2 linked regions of the Anolis sagrei genome follow. The protein of the gene in region 1 purifies or fractionates together with the protein of each later gene. This does not show direct contact. Links are inferred from orthologs where the notes say so. Each region holds a gene or a part of one and is shown on either strand. Other genes may lie near its edges. The genes, in order: POC1A and NUDC.

The links.
Region 2: the proteins of POC1A (region 1) and NUDC purify together in Homo sapiens (co-immunoprecipitation; 3 studies listed by BioGRID and IntAct, with this or other methods). This does not show direct contact. The link is inferred for Anolis sagrei from reciprocal best matches to the Homo sapiens genes POC1A and NUDC.

The regions. Positions count from the first base shown.
Region 1 is NC_090022.1:69,060,268-69,068,154, forward strand, and holds the start of POC1A (POC1 centriolar protein homolog A), read right to left. Parts: upstream 3,153-7,887; 5' UTR 2,994-3,152; coding exon 2,976-2,993; intron 1-2,975.
Region 2 is NC_090034.1:72,668,995-72,676,563, forward strand, and holds the start of NUDC (nuclear migration protein nudC), read left to right. Parts: upstream 1-4,455; 5' UTR 4,456-4,562; coding exon 4,563-4,658; intron 4,659-7,569. UniProt on the Homo sapiens protein: Plays a role in neurogenesis and neuronal migration. Necessary for correct formation of mitotic spindles and chromosome separation during mitosis. Necessary for cytokinesis and cell proliferation.

The sequences.
Region 1 (7,887 bases):
GGTATTTCAGAAAACAACACAGATGAAAAAATACAATATTTCCTGGCCACACTTTTTAGACACATGCTTACAACTGTTACATGCAAGCCATTCTTAGGGAAGATACAATCTATATGGCTGCTGTATGTTTGGAATTTTGCGAAATTCCATACAGCATGCAAAATTTGTCTGAAGAATATCAGCATTAATTTGAATAGCATGTTTCCCATTCTAAAGTCCATGAATAACTGAAGGGATGCTTATATATTTCCAGAAGTAGTTCTGTGCCTTCCATAATGTTTTATCTCTGCCCTGATATACAGAACCAGACTGATTATGAAACACTGGGGGGGGGGGGGGAGTATTTAAAAACCTAAATAATACATACATTTAACACCTGTAAGAGAAATATCACTGCTATATAGACTACATAGGAGACATGAGTTCCTAATCAATCATTTATTTCCTGGAAAGCTGTTTCTCAAGTTTCTGATATCTAGTCCAGAAAGTAACAGTTACCATACAGAAATTAGTTATAATGAAATACATCCTAACCATTTTGATTTTAGGTTAGTTATGTCTTCTAGGGACACTGCTAGCTGCTGAACTTGCTGACTGAAAGACTGGGGGTTCAAATCCAGGGAGCGGGGTGAGCTCCCGCTTTTAGGCTCCATTTCTGCCAACCTAGCAGTTCGAAAACATGTAAATGTAAGCAGAGACTAACTGCACAAATTGCACATGAACTCATGGCCCTTCTACACTGTCATATAATCCAGTTCAAAGCAGATAATCTGGATTTTATATGGCAGTGTAGAAGGGTCATGGGTTTTTGCATGATTCCCAGCCACATCCAACTGAGGGCCCTTCTACACAGCCATATTACCCAGAATATCAAGGCAGATCATTCACAATATCTGCTTTGAACTGGAATATATGGCAGTGTGGATTCAGATCACCCAGTTCAAAGCAGGTATTTTTGGATTTTCTGCCTTGATGTTCTGGGCTATATGGCTGTGTGAAAGGGCCCTGGGTTATCTGAGTGTACACTGCCAGTTCAGTGTGGATTTTATACAGCTGTGTGGCAGAGGCCTGAGTATTTATTTCTATTCTGGCCTTCAAAGAGGCCTGCACATTACGTTGGTCAGCTAAGAAAACTATGAGAAAAAGTTAGCTGAACTTAATACTAAAGAGAAAGGAGAGGACTGCGTTTTGGATGCTTTGATTAGGCCTCTTCCGCACAGCTGAATAAAATCGCACAATATCTACTTTGACCATTTCTGCTACCTTGACAGCCACCTCTGCACAAACGTCAGCATTGACACTGAAATACAACACCGCCTGAGCTCTGTGAGTGCAGCATTTTTCCTAATGAAGCAGAGAGTGTTAGAGGATCGGAACATCCGTAGGGAGACCAAGGTGTTTATTTATAAAGTTATTGTCCTCCCAACCCTGTTATATGCCTGCAAAATGTGGACTGTCTACAGAAGTCACACTCAACTCCTGGAACAAGTCCATCAGCATTGCCTCTGAAAAATCATGCAAATCTCTTGGGAAGGCAGGTGGACAAATGCCAGTGTGCTGGAAGAAACAAAGACCACCAGCATTGAAGAGATGGTCCTTTTTCCATCAACTCAGCTGGACTAGCTACATTGTCCGAATGCCTGAAGCAGCTTCTATACTCCCAATTCAAGAACAGAAAACAGAAAGCCCTAAACGGTTCTGGCCCTACTTACCTCTCCGAACGCATCTCCTCCTATGAACCGGCTAGGACACTAAGATCATCTGGAGAGGCCCTGCACTCTGTCCCGCCTGCATCACAGGTGCGCTTGGCAGGGACAAGAGACAGGGCCTTCTCAGTGGTGGCCCCTCGGCTGTGGAATGCCCTGACTGCAGATATCAGATTGGCCCCCTTCCTGCTGGGGTTTCGGAGGAGCTGTTCGAACAAGCATTTGATTAAACAGTATAATTGAACATAGGAATACGGAATAATGGATAACGAGACTGGATTCCGATTTTACTGTTGAGGCGCTAATGATTGTTATACGGATGTTTAATGATTTATGTTACAATTGTTTTTAATTGCCCTATACTTGTCTCGTGATGTTTTGTATTGATGTAGTTCACCACTTTGAGTTGCCTGAGGGCTGAGAAAAGCGGTGTATATATATAAATAAATAAATGTTGGTGGATAGGAAAAGAGATTTAAAGATGGGCTTAAAGCTAACCTTAAAAACTGTGGCATAGACACCGAGAACTGAGAAGCCCTGGCCCCTGAGCATTCTAACTGGAGGTCAGTTGTGACCAGCAATGCCGTGGAATTTGAAGAGGCACCTATGGAGGGTGCCAATAGGAAGGCGTGTCAAGCCAACCCTGGTGTGAGAGAATTGGCCCTTGCAGATGGCCAATTCTCTCACACCAGAAGCGACTTGCAGTCTCTCAAGTCGCTCCTGACACGACAAAAAAAATTATAAATATTATATTATTAGCATAGCACATAGTTGAACTGGGTTATCTGTGTCCACACTTAATGTGGGATTTTCTGCCTTTATATTCTGGGTTTTATGGCTGTGTGGAAGGGCACCGAGTCTCTTTTGAGATAGAGAATGCGGGATATAAATACATGTGAAAGGTATGTTTCCCAAACTAATAAACTCTTCCTTTCCAAATGACTCTCTGGTTCTCCCTTGCACCTCTCTTCCTCCTCTGTGAGGGCCCTTCCACACAGCCATATAATCCAGAATATCAAGGCAGAAAATCCCACAATATCTGCTTTGAACTGGGTTATCTGAGTCCACACTGCTATATATTCCAGCTCAAAGCAGATCATGTGTGGAAGGGGCCTGAGAAGTTACAACTCCCAGGCAGCAAAGGGGAGGGACTTAGTCAGGCCTCCCCCCGGCTCTTCTCCCACTCCACTCCCCTGCCTTGCCATTTCCAAGCCCTGTTGCCAGTGGGGCCAGCTTCTCCTTCCCCCGTTTCCCCCCTTCTGCCCTTACCAAGCAAGAAAACGCCATGTTGCCGAAAGAGTCCCAGCGGAACGAAGCCTCGCCGCGATTGTTGCCGCCGGACGGATTCAGTTTGCGCGCCCTGCCCTCCGCCTTAGTAACGGCGTCCTGCGCTTAAAGGGGAGGCGGCGGGGAAGGCCAGAAATGTTGCCCTCCGACAAGAAAAGAAAAGCGCGGGAAGAAGAGAGGGAATCCGGCAGGAAGCGAGGGAGGGAGGGAAGTGGGGGCGACTTCCTGTTCTTGGAAAGTATGCCCAGGACGCCTTTTCTCATCATGATTGAGAAATTTCCAAATACAAGAAAGCAGATATGAGCAAACTTGGGCCCTCCAGGGGTTTTGGACTTCAACTCCCACCATTCCTCACAGCCTCAGGCCCCTTCCTTTCCCCCCTCAGCCACTGAGGCCCCTTCAACACTGCCATATACAATCTAGATTATCTTCTTTGAGCTGGATTATATAGAAGTGTACACTCATAAAATCCAGTTCAAAACAAACGTTATGGATTTTCTGCTTTGATAATCTGGATTATATGGCAGTGCAGAAGGAGCCTCTAGGCCCCTTTCACACAGCTATACAAAATCCTATATTACTTGCTCTGAACTGGGTTGTATGGCAGTGTGGACTCAGATAACCCAGTTCAAAGTAGATATTGTGGATTATCTGCCTTGATATTCTGGGTTATATGTCTGTGGAAGGAGCCTCTGGGCCCTTCCACACAGCCCTATATCCTAGAATATCAAGGCAGAAAATCCCACCTTATGTGAGTGTGGACTCAGATAACCCAGTTCAAACCAGATATTGGGGATTATCTACCTTGATATTCTGAGTTATATGGCTGTGTGGAAGGAGCCTCGGTGGGACTGACTCTGAATGTTTTTTTTTCTTTCTTTTTTGTATATTTGTGTTGGCATTTGCTGGTTTGTGTTGTTGAAGGCTCTCGTGGTTGGAATCATTGAAAATAGCTGGTTTCTGTGTATTCCCTTAAGACCTTCACGATTACACTTCTTGGTATTTTCATTTTAAACATAATCCATGAAGGGGGTAAGGAAAAAAATATTGATGGTAAAGCAGGTTTTTGGTGTTTGCGTCTGATTTTTTTTTGCTTCTTTTTCTTTTCTTTTTTAATGGTTGCATAGTATCTGCGCAGTGGGTTAAACTGCTGAGCTGCTAAACTTGCTGACCAAAAGGTTAACGGGGAGCGGGGTGAGCTCCCACTGATAGCCCCTGCTTCTGCCAACCTAACAGTTCGAAAACATGCAAATGTGAGATCTGTGGGAAGGTAACGGTGCTCCATGCAGTCATGCTGGCTGCATGACCTTGGAGGCGTCTATGGACAAAGCCGGCTCTTCGGCTTAGAAATGGAGATGAGCACCACCCCGCAGAGTCTGACACGACTAGGCTTAATGTCAAGGGGAAACCTTTACCTTTACTTTAATATCTGAAGTACAAGGAAGTTTTTCTGGGTTTTTTGCCTGCTTACCTATCCGAATGTATCTCTCCTTATAAACCATAGGGCTTTAAGATCGTCTGGGGAGGCCCTGCTCTCGATCCTGCCTTCCTCACAGATGCGTTTGGTGGGGACGAGACAGGGCCTTCTTGGTGGTGGCCCCTCGGCTATGGAACACCCTTCCCAGGGATATAAGATCAGCTCCCTCCCATCTAACATTCTGCAAAATGGTTAAGCAAGCTTTTTCACCTGGAGCATAACTAGATGAAAATGAATATACGGAACGCCCGTTGATGCAATTGGACAATGATTTTAGTAAGGAGGCGCTGAGAATTTTGTGTTTACAGGATGTATTGTTTTTTATATCACATTTTAAATGTTTTGTAATTGTTTTAAGTGTATTTTTATAATTCCTATAGCATCAAATCACTGCGTACTGTGAACCGCCTTGAGTCGCCATTGGCTGAGAAAGGCAGTATACAAATGCAGCAAATAAATAAATAATAAATATTAGGGCCGTGAAAAGGCAATGAAACAGGATAAATAATTTTACAATTTCAACAGGGAAGGCATTTTCTGCATTGTGGTGCTTCCCTTTTGTGGATTTGGGATATTGTTGTACTAGTTTGCTTTTCTTTCTTTCTTTGGGGCGGGAAGAGTTAATCCCTGCAGGCAGCCCCTGCCAAACTCCATGGAAACCCCGCAGCAGAAGCCTAGCCCTCGTGGCAAACTGGGGCTTGGAAGGTTCCAAAGGGAAGCAGGCGGTGGGGGGAGGTGGCTGATGGGTTTTCCCATTGGGTGGAGCAGTTTGATCAAACTAGATGATATCTTTGGATTTCAGACTAAAACACTGGGGAGCATGGTGGCTTGGTGCTACTGGGCTATTCGGGGGAGTCTTTGGAGGAGAGAGGAGAGCTCTTTCCCTCACTCCTGCTCCCCAAACACCCCCTTTTTTCCATTCTGTTGGTACAGTCCCCCGCTCTTTTCTTCCCTGCTCCAGCCTGCTGGCTTCACAACGTGACTGGCTCATGGGGCGAGAGGGTCGGGGTGGGTTCTGGGATGCTTAATAGTTCCCATTGCTTAGGCATTCTCCAGTTCTGGTTAATAAACAAAGATTTATGGGAAGAGCTGCTCTAATTAAGGGAAGGTTATTATATTTTATAACAAGGAAGGAAACTTAGCAAAAATGGTTTTTGTGTGTGGCAGGAGCAATTGCGTGGTTCCCTTTTTCTCTATTTTCTTAATTTTCCGTTTTCAATGGCAGGGCTTCTTAAGGAAAGAAAGCTAATTGGAAAGCAGTTGCAGTACAATGAGTGAATATTAAGAACTGCTGCTCTGGAAGTCTCTCAATTTCCTCCAGTTGGGAAGAAGCTTAGTTTGGGGCACTTGCCTTGGAACAACCAGTTACCTTCAAACTTTTAAGTCTGGATTTTGTTGTGGGGAAATCAAGAGAGTGCCTGGGCGCAGACAGGCCCAAGACCTGTCAGTGTGCGATTGGTTTGCCTACTCTAGAACATGCAACATATAATTGCCCTTTAGGGGTTCCTTTAAAATCTATGATATTATATCTGTCACATATATATATGTGTGTGAATCATCTCTATATCTATGGCTGGATAGCTCTTTGTCAGGAAGGTTTTTGATTGTTTTCTTGCCCTGCTAAAGGGAGTCGGACTGGATGGCCTTAAGGCAACATTTCTCAACGTGGGGGTCAGGATCCTAGAGGGATGTCAGAAGGGTCGCCAAAACCCCCAGAAAACAGTATTTTCTGTTGGTCATGGGGGTTCTGTGTGGGAAGTTCATTTGGGGGAGGGGCAGGTTCAGAATGCTCTTTGATTGTAGGTGAACTATAAATCCCAATAACTACAACTCCCAAATGTCAGGGTCTATTTTCCCCAAACTCCATTTATGTTTGTATTTGGGCATATGGAATATTTGTGCCAAGTTTGGTCTAGATCAGTGGTTCTCAACCTTTCTAATGCTGTGACACCTTAATACAGTTCCTCATGTTGTGGTGACCCCCAACCATAAAATTATATGTGTTGCTACTTTGTAACTCTTAATTTGCTACTGTTAAGAATCGCAATATAAATATCGGTTATGTAGGTGTATTTTCATTGTTACAAAGTGAACATAAACCATAGTGATTAATCACAAAAACAATATGTAATTATATATTGTGAAATATTTATTTCTAATTGCAAATAAATGAAATTTAGATTTGAAGCATGTCATAGCATGGGTAACAGTCTCAATATAACAGCAAACAGATTTAACATACATACAACTCACATTATAACCTAGTAATATAACAACAGGAAACCACATTGCTACATTTTCCAGCAGGACGCATTATAAGGCCAACATCAGTGCGAAGCTTGTGCTTGCTTCTTTCTCACCAAATCAGAAATTCTTGGGGCAGTCTTTGCAAGGGCACAACGGAGATCGTCTTCCACAACAAGTCTACCTCTATTTTTAGACTTGATATCCAACAAGCTGGAAAACCCTTGTTCACAAAGATATGTTGTTGGAAATGGAACAAGAAGACGCAACACAGTCTCAGACAGAACGGGATATGACTGCAAACACTTGATCCAGAATTTTGTGATGGGCATGGTAGAGAAATCGGTTTTGCAGCGTCACTGTTAATAAGTTCAATGAATTCCTCTTGTGCTGCCTCAGGAATATCTTCAACGTTGATGGAGAATGGGCTCCTGACAAGTGCAAAGGGGATGTCAGGAAGATTTGGAAAATAATATGAAATTTCATCTGCAAGGATGTGAAAATGTTCTTTCACAGAAGGTATAATTGTAATCCTTTCCTCTGGTTCAACATCATTTTCCTCAAAGAAAGCACATAATGTAGGCAGCATATAAATTTTATTTTCATACAATTTTTTCCCCCAAAACTGAAGTTTCTGTTGGAATGTTTTGATCTTTTCTGACAAATCAAGGCTTGTAGCATTTGGTCCTTGCAGTGATAAATTTAATTCATTCAAGATGGCAAAAATATCAGCCAAGTAAGCTATTTTTTGCAGTTCACTGTGATCGCTGAAAAGTGCTTCAAACTGTGGTTTTGCTTTTTGGTTAAAGAACACTTTGAGTTCATCCCGAAGCTCATAAACTCGTAAAACTTTTCCTCTGGACAGCCATCTCGCTTCCGTGTGAAATAGGAGGACATTGCTGGGTGCATCCATCTCACTGCACAGTTGTGAAAATAGTCTGCAATTTAAACCACTTCCCTTCACAAAATTGACACAACTTATTACACATTTCATGACTTCCTGAAACTCTTGTGGCAGCGTCTTTGTTGCTAGTATTTGCCTATGAATCATGCAATGAGTTCCAATGACTTTTGGTGACTCATCCTGTACCAAGCGTTGAAAACCAGATCGGCATCCTAACATTGCTGGAGCACCATCTGTGCAAACACCACAAACCATTTCCCAGGAGATCT
Region 2 (7,569 bases), on another chromosome or scaffold:
GCTAGTTACTGCATGGCTATTGGGCTTGACCCCTGTGGCGATGGGGATGCTGGTTTCAGTGTGATATATAACATACTAATGAGGTCGAACCCAGAACTCCCTGCCTTCAAGCTGATCTGACCTGCAGCAGGGAGTTTCTCAGTTCTCCATTGCCCCGCTTGGGCCAATCTGTATGAACGTGGCCACAGCAGCAGCTGCAAATCAGGAGCCTTATTACTTCGCTTTCTTGCCCCTTCTAACATTATAACTAACCCCCCAATAAAAGTATCAATTAATTGTAATCTTTTTCCTCTCCACAGTGTTACTTTGTGTCCTTTTATTGCCTCTAACCTCTCTCCGCATGAACCTTTCCTCTCCCAGACTGCAGATCGCTGCCGGTCCGCCCGGGATGCGAACCTGGCCACTTGTCAACAATGGGACATCCTGCCTTCAGGGAAGATCAAGATGTCCCATCCACCACTCTCATTGTCTTTGCCCCTTGGAATGAAACCCACACACAGATAGCATCAATCAATCCCATATCTGAGACAGAAGGATATCAAGGCTTGGCAGCAGTTCCAGCCACTTTTGCATGTTTCAACCTCTCAGGACAATACAAGGCCAGCTTGAGGAATCTCCGGATTATCGCCGGCTATCGGACAACACATTAAACCACAATAATCCAATCATTTTTCCTCTCGGTTCATTGTTTTCCCACTTGTACTGCTTCCTTGACTCCCATTGGCTCAGGAGCCGGAGCGGCGCTGGCTTCCCCATTGGCTGAGGGCGCTCAGGGGTGGCTCAACCCATTACGCAAAGTAAGCATTTGCAGTATAGATTATTTTGGCCAGGGGCGCTCTTGAGGCGCTCTTGGGGGAAAATAGACCTATGAGAGTTGTAGTTACTGGGATGTATAGTTCACCTACAATCAAAGAGCATTCTGAACTCCACCAATGATGGAATTGAACCAAATATGGCACACAGAACTCCCACGACGAACAGAAAATATATATCAGTGATTGGTTGGGGGGGGGGGGCGCCAAAACACTGTTTGCCACCTCTGGCTGCGCCTCCCTCCAGCAGATGACACCAACCAATCAGCGCAAAGCCGGCAGAGGGGCGGGGGGCGAGAAGTTTGAATCTGACAATCTGTATTTTCTATAAAATGTACCCTTTTCTCCCTTGCCAAACATGTCAACTTTGGCAAGAAATTGTGGTTTGACATCCGTACCAGCTGGGACGAAATAAAGACAACTCGGTGGCTTTTCTTCAACTTGGTGAGACTTTTATTGGGAAAAAATAGGAAAAATCTTGGGTGCTTTCTTTGTCTCGCCAGGGCTCCGGACTCTCCTTGGTGAGTCTGATTGGTCTTTGCCTCCTGGCAAAGACCCCTAAATTCTTGCTCAATATCACTTTGACCTGAGTAAATGGATACATAATGGTCGTGTGTATATGGCATTCTCTGTGTTAATGGCTCAGTCTGAGATGACATCTAAATAAAAGAGTAAAATATAATCCCAAGTACACACATCTGGATTCTTAAATACTTTCTTAGTGGAATAACAAATTGGAGAGAATTTAGGATGACACAACCAACATTTTTATCTTTCACTGCATGCTCTTCTAAAATCAAAACTAATTTTCAGCCAGATTGTGTCTGATACTATAAACATACAACCGTAAGATTTGACAAATGGTCATGGTCCCCACCCTTTTTTCTCAGAGAGTGCCATCTAACAGCTAATTTCTTATGGAAGCTTTGCCAGGAAATATAAATACAGGCACCAAATGCAAGTTTCATTCGCCTTGAAAAAAAATTCATGCATGACACTGCACAACAGGCGGCTGCTAGACAATAAAAAGTGTGCCTTGCCTCTCTCCCTCCAGGGCTGTTTTCTTTAATTGAGCAGAACAACACAAAACCTGTTTCTAGAAATGCACTATTCTTATTCTTTTTCTTCAGCATTTGTCCTGCTTGATGGCGGGGTTTGCTTTACAAGTTTACTGGCACCATTTCACCTGATCGTGCGCCTGATCAGGGTGTATGCCAGTACTCTTCAGATGGTTGTACAATGTGTCCAGCCAGCATTGCTTCAGTAGTCAGAAAAGCACCCACCTTGTCCACCTTCCGTAAGGACTTAAAAACTTGGATGTTCCGTCGCGCCTTTGATTAGGCAACTGGCTCGACCCTATCTAAGCTCCTGCAGTTTAGTTTGGCCTACCCCCACTAATCTCGACACTTTATTGCCAAAGGTATTCCCTCTAGATTGGCACATTTGAATTTTTGCACTTTCCCTCAGCTCTACTTAGGAATTCGCTGCACTTACTTGAGCTCTGATTCTGTTTCCAGCCATGATATTGTTTCTATGATGTTGTTGTTGTGACTGTGTTATGTTTTTATTTGATTGATTTTAATGCTGTTGTTTTTATCTGTGATTTTTGGGCTTGTCCCCATGTAAGCTGCCCTGAGTTACCTTGGGGAGATGGTGGCGGGGTATAGAAATAATTTTTTTTATTATTATTATTTAAAACACAACAAGTTGAGGCCACAACAAACAAAATCACTCTGCTGGCTGTTGTATTGGATCACACATCGGGCACTTCGCAAGTGTCTAGGACTGTGTGATGTATCGGCAAATAATAGGTGTAGATCCCAGTAAGGTAGCCTTTTGCAGCTGACAGATGGTAATTTTGTCAGCACCAATTGTTTTTGAGTGCAGGCCAGGGTCTTTAGGCACTACACCCAGTGTGCCGATCACCACTGGGACCACCTTTACTGGTTTGTGCCAGAGTCTTTGCAGTTTGATTATATTATTATTATTATTATTATTATCATCATCATCATCATCATGATTATTGTATTGTCAAAGGCTTTCATGGCTGGAATCACTGGGTCGTTGTAGGCTTTTCGGCTAGAGAGAATGTTCTAGAAGCATTCTCTCCTGATGTTTCACCTGCATCTATGGCAAGCATCCTCAGAGGTTGTGAGGTCAAGGTCTTTAGGCACTGCACCCAGTGTGCCGATCACTACTGGGACCACCTTTACTGGCTTGTGCCAGAGTCTTTGCAGTTTGATTATATTATTGTTATCATTATTATTGTATTGTCAAAGGCTTTCATGGCTGGAATCACTGGGTTGCTGTAGGCTTTTCGGCTAGAGAGAATGTTCTAGAACAGTGGTTCTAAACCTGGGGTCCCCAGATGTTTTTGGCCTACAACTCCCAGAAATCCCAGCCAGTTTAACAGATTTTAGGATTTCTGGGAGTTGAAGGCCAAAAACATCTAGGGATCGTAGGTTGAGAACCACTGTTCTAGAAGCATTCTCTCCTGACGTTTCGCCTGCATCTATGTCAAGCATCCTCAGAGGTTGTGAGGTCAAGGTCTTTAGGCACTGCACCCAGTGTGCCGATCACCACTGGGACCACCTTTACTAGTTTGTGCCAGTCTTTGCAGTTCGATCTTTAAATCCTCATATCATGACAGCTTTTCCAGTTGTTACTCTTCAATCCTGCTGTCGCCTGGGATTGCAACATCAACGATCCATACTTTGTTGTTGTTTATTATTTGGTCTCTTGCCAGGCATTTCTAAATCAAGAGCTGTCTTGCAAATGAATTTGACTTCACCTCGGCGAGTATGACCATATCAAGTTTCTATACCAGTGTTTCTCAACCTGGGGGTCGGGACCCCTGGGGGGGTCGCGAAGGGGTGTCAGAGGGGTCGCCAAAGACCATCAGAAAATACAGTATTTTCTGTTGGTCATGGGGGTTCTGTGTGGGAAGTTTGGCCCAATTCATTGTTGGGGTTCAGAACACTCCTTGATTGTAGGTGAACTATAAATCCCAGCAAGTACAACTCCCAAATGTCAAAGTCTATTTTCCCCAAACCCCATCAGTGTTCACATTTGGGCATATTGAGTATCCGTGACAAGTTTGGTCCAGATCCATCATTGTTTGAGCCCACAGGCCCTTTCCTGTTCCTTTTCCCTTTCCTTTTTCTGCTTAAGCGGCTAAGGGGGAAAAGGAAAGGGCCTGGGGCTGTTAGGAATTGTGGGAGTTGGAGTCCAAAACACCTGGAAGGAGGGCCCAAGTTGGCCCAGGCCTGCTATATAGCCAATTTCAATTCACTAGGTTCTTGTGGGTTTTTTCGGGCTATAGAGCCATGTTCTAGAGGCATTTCTCCTGACGTTTCGCCTGCATCTATGGCAAGCATCCTCAGAGGTTGTGAGGTGGCTCTATAGCCCGAAAAAACCCACAAGAACCTAGTGATTCCAGCCATGAAAGCCTTCGACAATACAATTTCAATTCAATTCTAGCACTTCCTATCGGCCCTTACAGAAGAGGCTTCGTAACCATAGCAACGGACGCCACACCACGAGGCCCAACGGACAGCCCGCTGACTTCCTCCGAGCCCTGATTGGAAGGCCCGCCTGCCAATTAAGCTCTCCCGGTCGGCGATTGGCCAGAAGCAACAGGAAGGGGTTGGACAAGGCCTTCGCTTCCTGTTCCTGAGGCAGTGCGGGCCGTGCGTGTCAGAGGCTCTCCGTCGCCTGTGGTGAAAGATTTCGGAGCGAAGAGGAGGCGAGATGGGCGCCAGCGGGGAAGAGGCGGCTGAGAGTGAGGAGCGCTTCGACGGCATGTTGCTGGCTATGGCGCAGCAGCACCCGGGCGGCGTGAGGGAGGTGAGAGGCCGGGCAGGGCGAAGAGGGCCTTCCTCCTTCCCTCCCTTCCGGAGAGACAGGGTCTCCTCTCAGGCCCTGCTGACCATTGTATCCCCCTGGACCGCCTCGCGGGAATGGGACTGGGAAGCACTGTTTTCCAGTGGCTTCGACCCTTCTTGGAGGGGGATTCTTGTTCGACCCATAACCGTTGACCTGTGGGGACCTGAGTTATTTATTTATCGTGTCATCAGCAACCATACCATTGTGTTACAATTCTAACAGAACAAAACAAATACACAGATTAAAAAGAAAAGAAAAAAACACAGATTTTGCAATTTTGGTAGTTGGTTAAATGTCCTTTGACCAGTATCTGGCCACTTGGAGTGCTTCTGGTGTTGCCGCAAGAAGGTCCTCCATTGTGCATGTGGCAGGGCTCAGGGTGCATTGCAGCAGGTGGTCAGTGGTTTGTTCTCCACACTCGCATGCCGAGGATTCCACTTTGTAGCCCCATTTCTTAAGATTGGCTCTGCATCTTGTGGTGCCAGAGCGCAGTCTGTTCAGCGCCTTCAAAGTCTCCCAGTCTTCTGTGTGCCCAGGGGGGAGTCTCTCATCTGGTATCACCCATGGATTGAGGTGCTGGGTTTGAGCCTGCCACTTTTGGACTCTCGCTTGCTGGGGTGTTCCAGTGAGTGTCCCTGTAGATCTAAGAAAACTATTTCTTCATTTAAGTCGTTGGCGTGCTGGCTGATACCCAAACGGGATGAGCTGGAGATGTCTCTGCCTTGGTCCTTTCACTATTGGCTGCTACTTCCCGGCGGATGTCAGGTGGTGCAATACCGGCTAAGCAGTGTAATTTCTCCAGTGGTGTAGGGCGCAGACACCCTGTGATAATGCGGCATGTCTCATTAAGAGCCACATCTACTGTTTTAGTGTGGTGAGATGTGTTCCACACTGGGCATGCATACTCAGCAGCAGAGTAGCATAGCGCAAGGGCAGATGTCTTCACTGTGTCTGGTTGTGATCCCCAGGTTGTGCCAGTCAGCTTTCGTATGATGTTGTTTCTAGCGCCCACTTTTTGCTTGATGTTCAGGCAGTGCTTCTTGTAGGTCAGAGCACGGTCCAAAGTGACTCCCAGGTATTTGGGTGCGCTGCAATGCTCCAGTGGGATCCCTTCCCAGGTAATCCTCAGAGCTCGGGATGCTTGTCTGTTCTTAAGGTGAAAGGCGCATGTCTGTGTTTTAGATGGATTAGGGATCTGTTGCTTTTCCCTGTAATAGGCAGTAAGAGCACCTAGAGCTTCAGAGAGCTTCTGTTCAACCATCTCAAAGTTCCTTGCTTGAGCGGTGATGGCACAATCATCAGCATAGATGAAACTCTCTGTCCCTTCTGGCAGTGGCTGGTCATTTGTGTAGATGTTGAACATGGATGGAGCAAGGACGCTCCCCTGAGGCAGGCCGCTCTTCTGTTTCCGCCATCTGCTTCTCTGGCCCTGGAACTCAACAAAGAAGCTCCTGTTTTGTAGCAGGTTTCCTATGAGGCGGGTGAGGTGGTAGTCCTTTGTGATATTATACATTTTTCTCAGGAGGAGGCGGTGGTTCACAGTATCATAGGCTGCTGACAAGTCAATGAAGACAGATCCAGAAGCAACCAGGGGACCTGAGTAAACCGCAGGGTTCAGGACTGTCCCCCATGTTATTTATGTGACCCTCCAGCTTTTTTGTGCCACCAAGTCCCATAATTCCTGGCTACTGAACAAGCTGGCAAAAGCTCCTGGGAGTTGGAGGCCCAAACACCTGGAGGGTCGCAGTTTGAGGATCTCTGACTATATAGTGTACTTTCAAACTTCATAATAATCTATATATATATAAATGCTCTGTGCATAATGAGTACCTTAAAAACAAAAGAACCAGTGAATGAAATCACACCAAATTTGGCAACAAAATGTCTCACAACACAAGGAGTGACCATCGCTCAAAAAAAATGGTTTTATTTATTTATTTATTTATTTATTTAAAAGTTTTGTATACCGACCTTCTCACCTCTCTTGAGGGACTCAGACCGGTTTCCAACCATAATATCACATACAATCAATAAAACATCATAATACATGTTACAGTAAAACATTAAAACAGCAATTACAGTCAATAACTATAATGGTCAGTCGTCATACTAAAATCGTTGATCATCATCCTCCATCCATATCTCAGGGTATTGGCTCACTCGTCGAATGCCTGTCTCCATAACCAAGTCTTCACCTGTTTCCTAAATGTCAGGATAGAAGGGGCGGTTCTGATCTCCAGTGGGAGAGAGTTCCAGAGTCGAGAGGCCACCACCGAGAAGGCCCTGTCCCTCGTTCTCACCAGACGCACTTACGAGGCTGGTGGGACCGAGAGCAGGGCCTCTCCAGACGATCTTAATAATCTTGATGGTTTTGTCATTTGGAAGTTGTAGTTGCTGGGATTTATAGTTCACCTATAATCAAAGAGCATTCTGAACTCCACCAACGATGTGATTAAATCAAACTTGGCACACAGGACTCCCCTGACCAGCAGAAAACACTAGAAGGGTTTGGTGGGCATTGACCTTGAGTTTTGGAGTTGGAGCTCACCTACATCTAGAGAGCACTGTGGACTCAAACAATGATGGATCTGGACCAAACTTGGCACGAATACTCAATACGCCCAAATATAATCACAGATGGACTAGGTTTATCATTCACCTACAATCAAGGAGCATTCTGAACCCCACCAACGACAGAATTGGGAGAAACTTCCCACACAGAAACCCCATGACCAACAGAAAATACTGTATTTTCTGGTGGTCTTTGGTGACCTTTCTGACACCCCTCGCAACCCCCCCCCCCCGGGGCCCCAAACCCAAGGTTGAGAAATACTGCCTTAAGGCCATCCAGTCCAACTCCCTTCACCAGGGC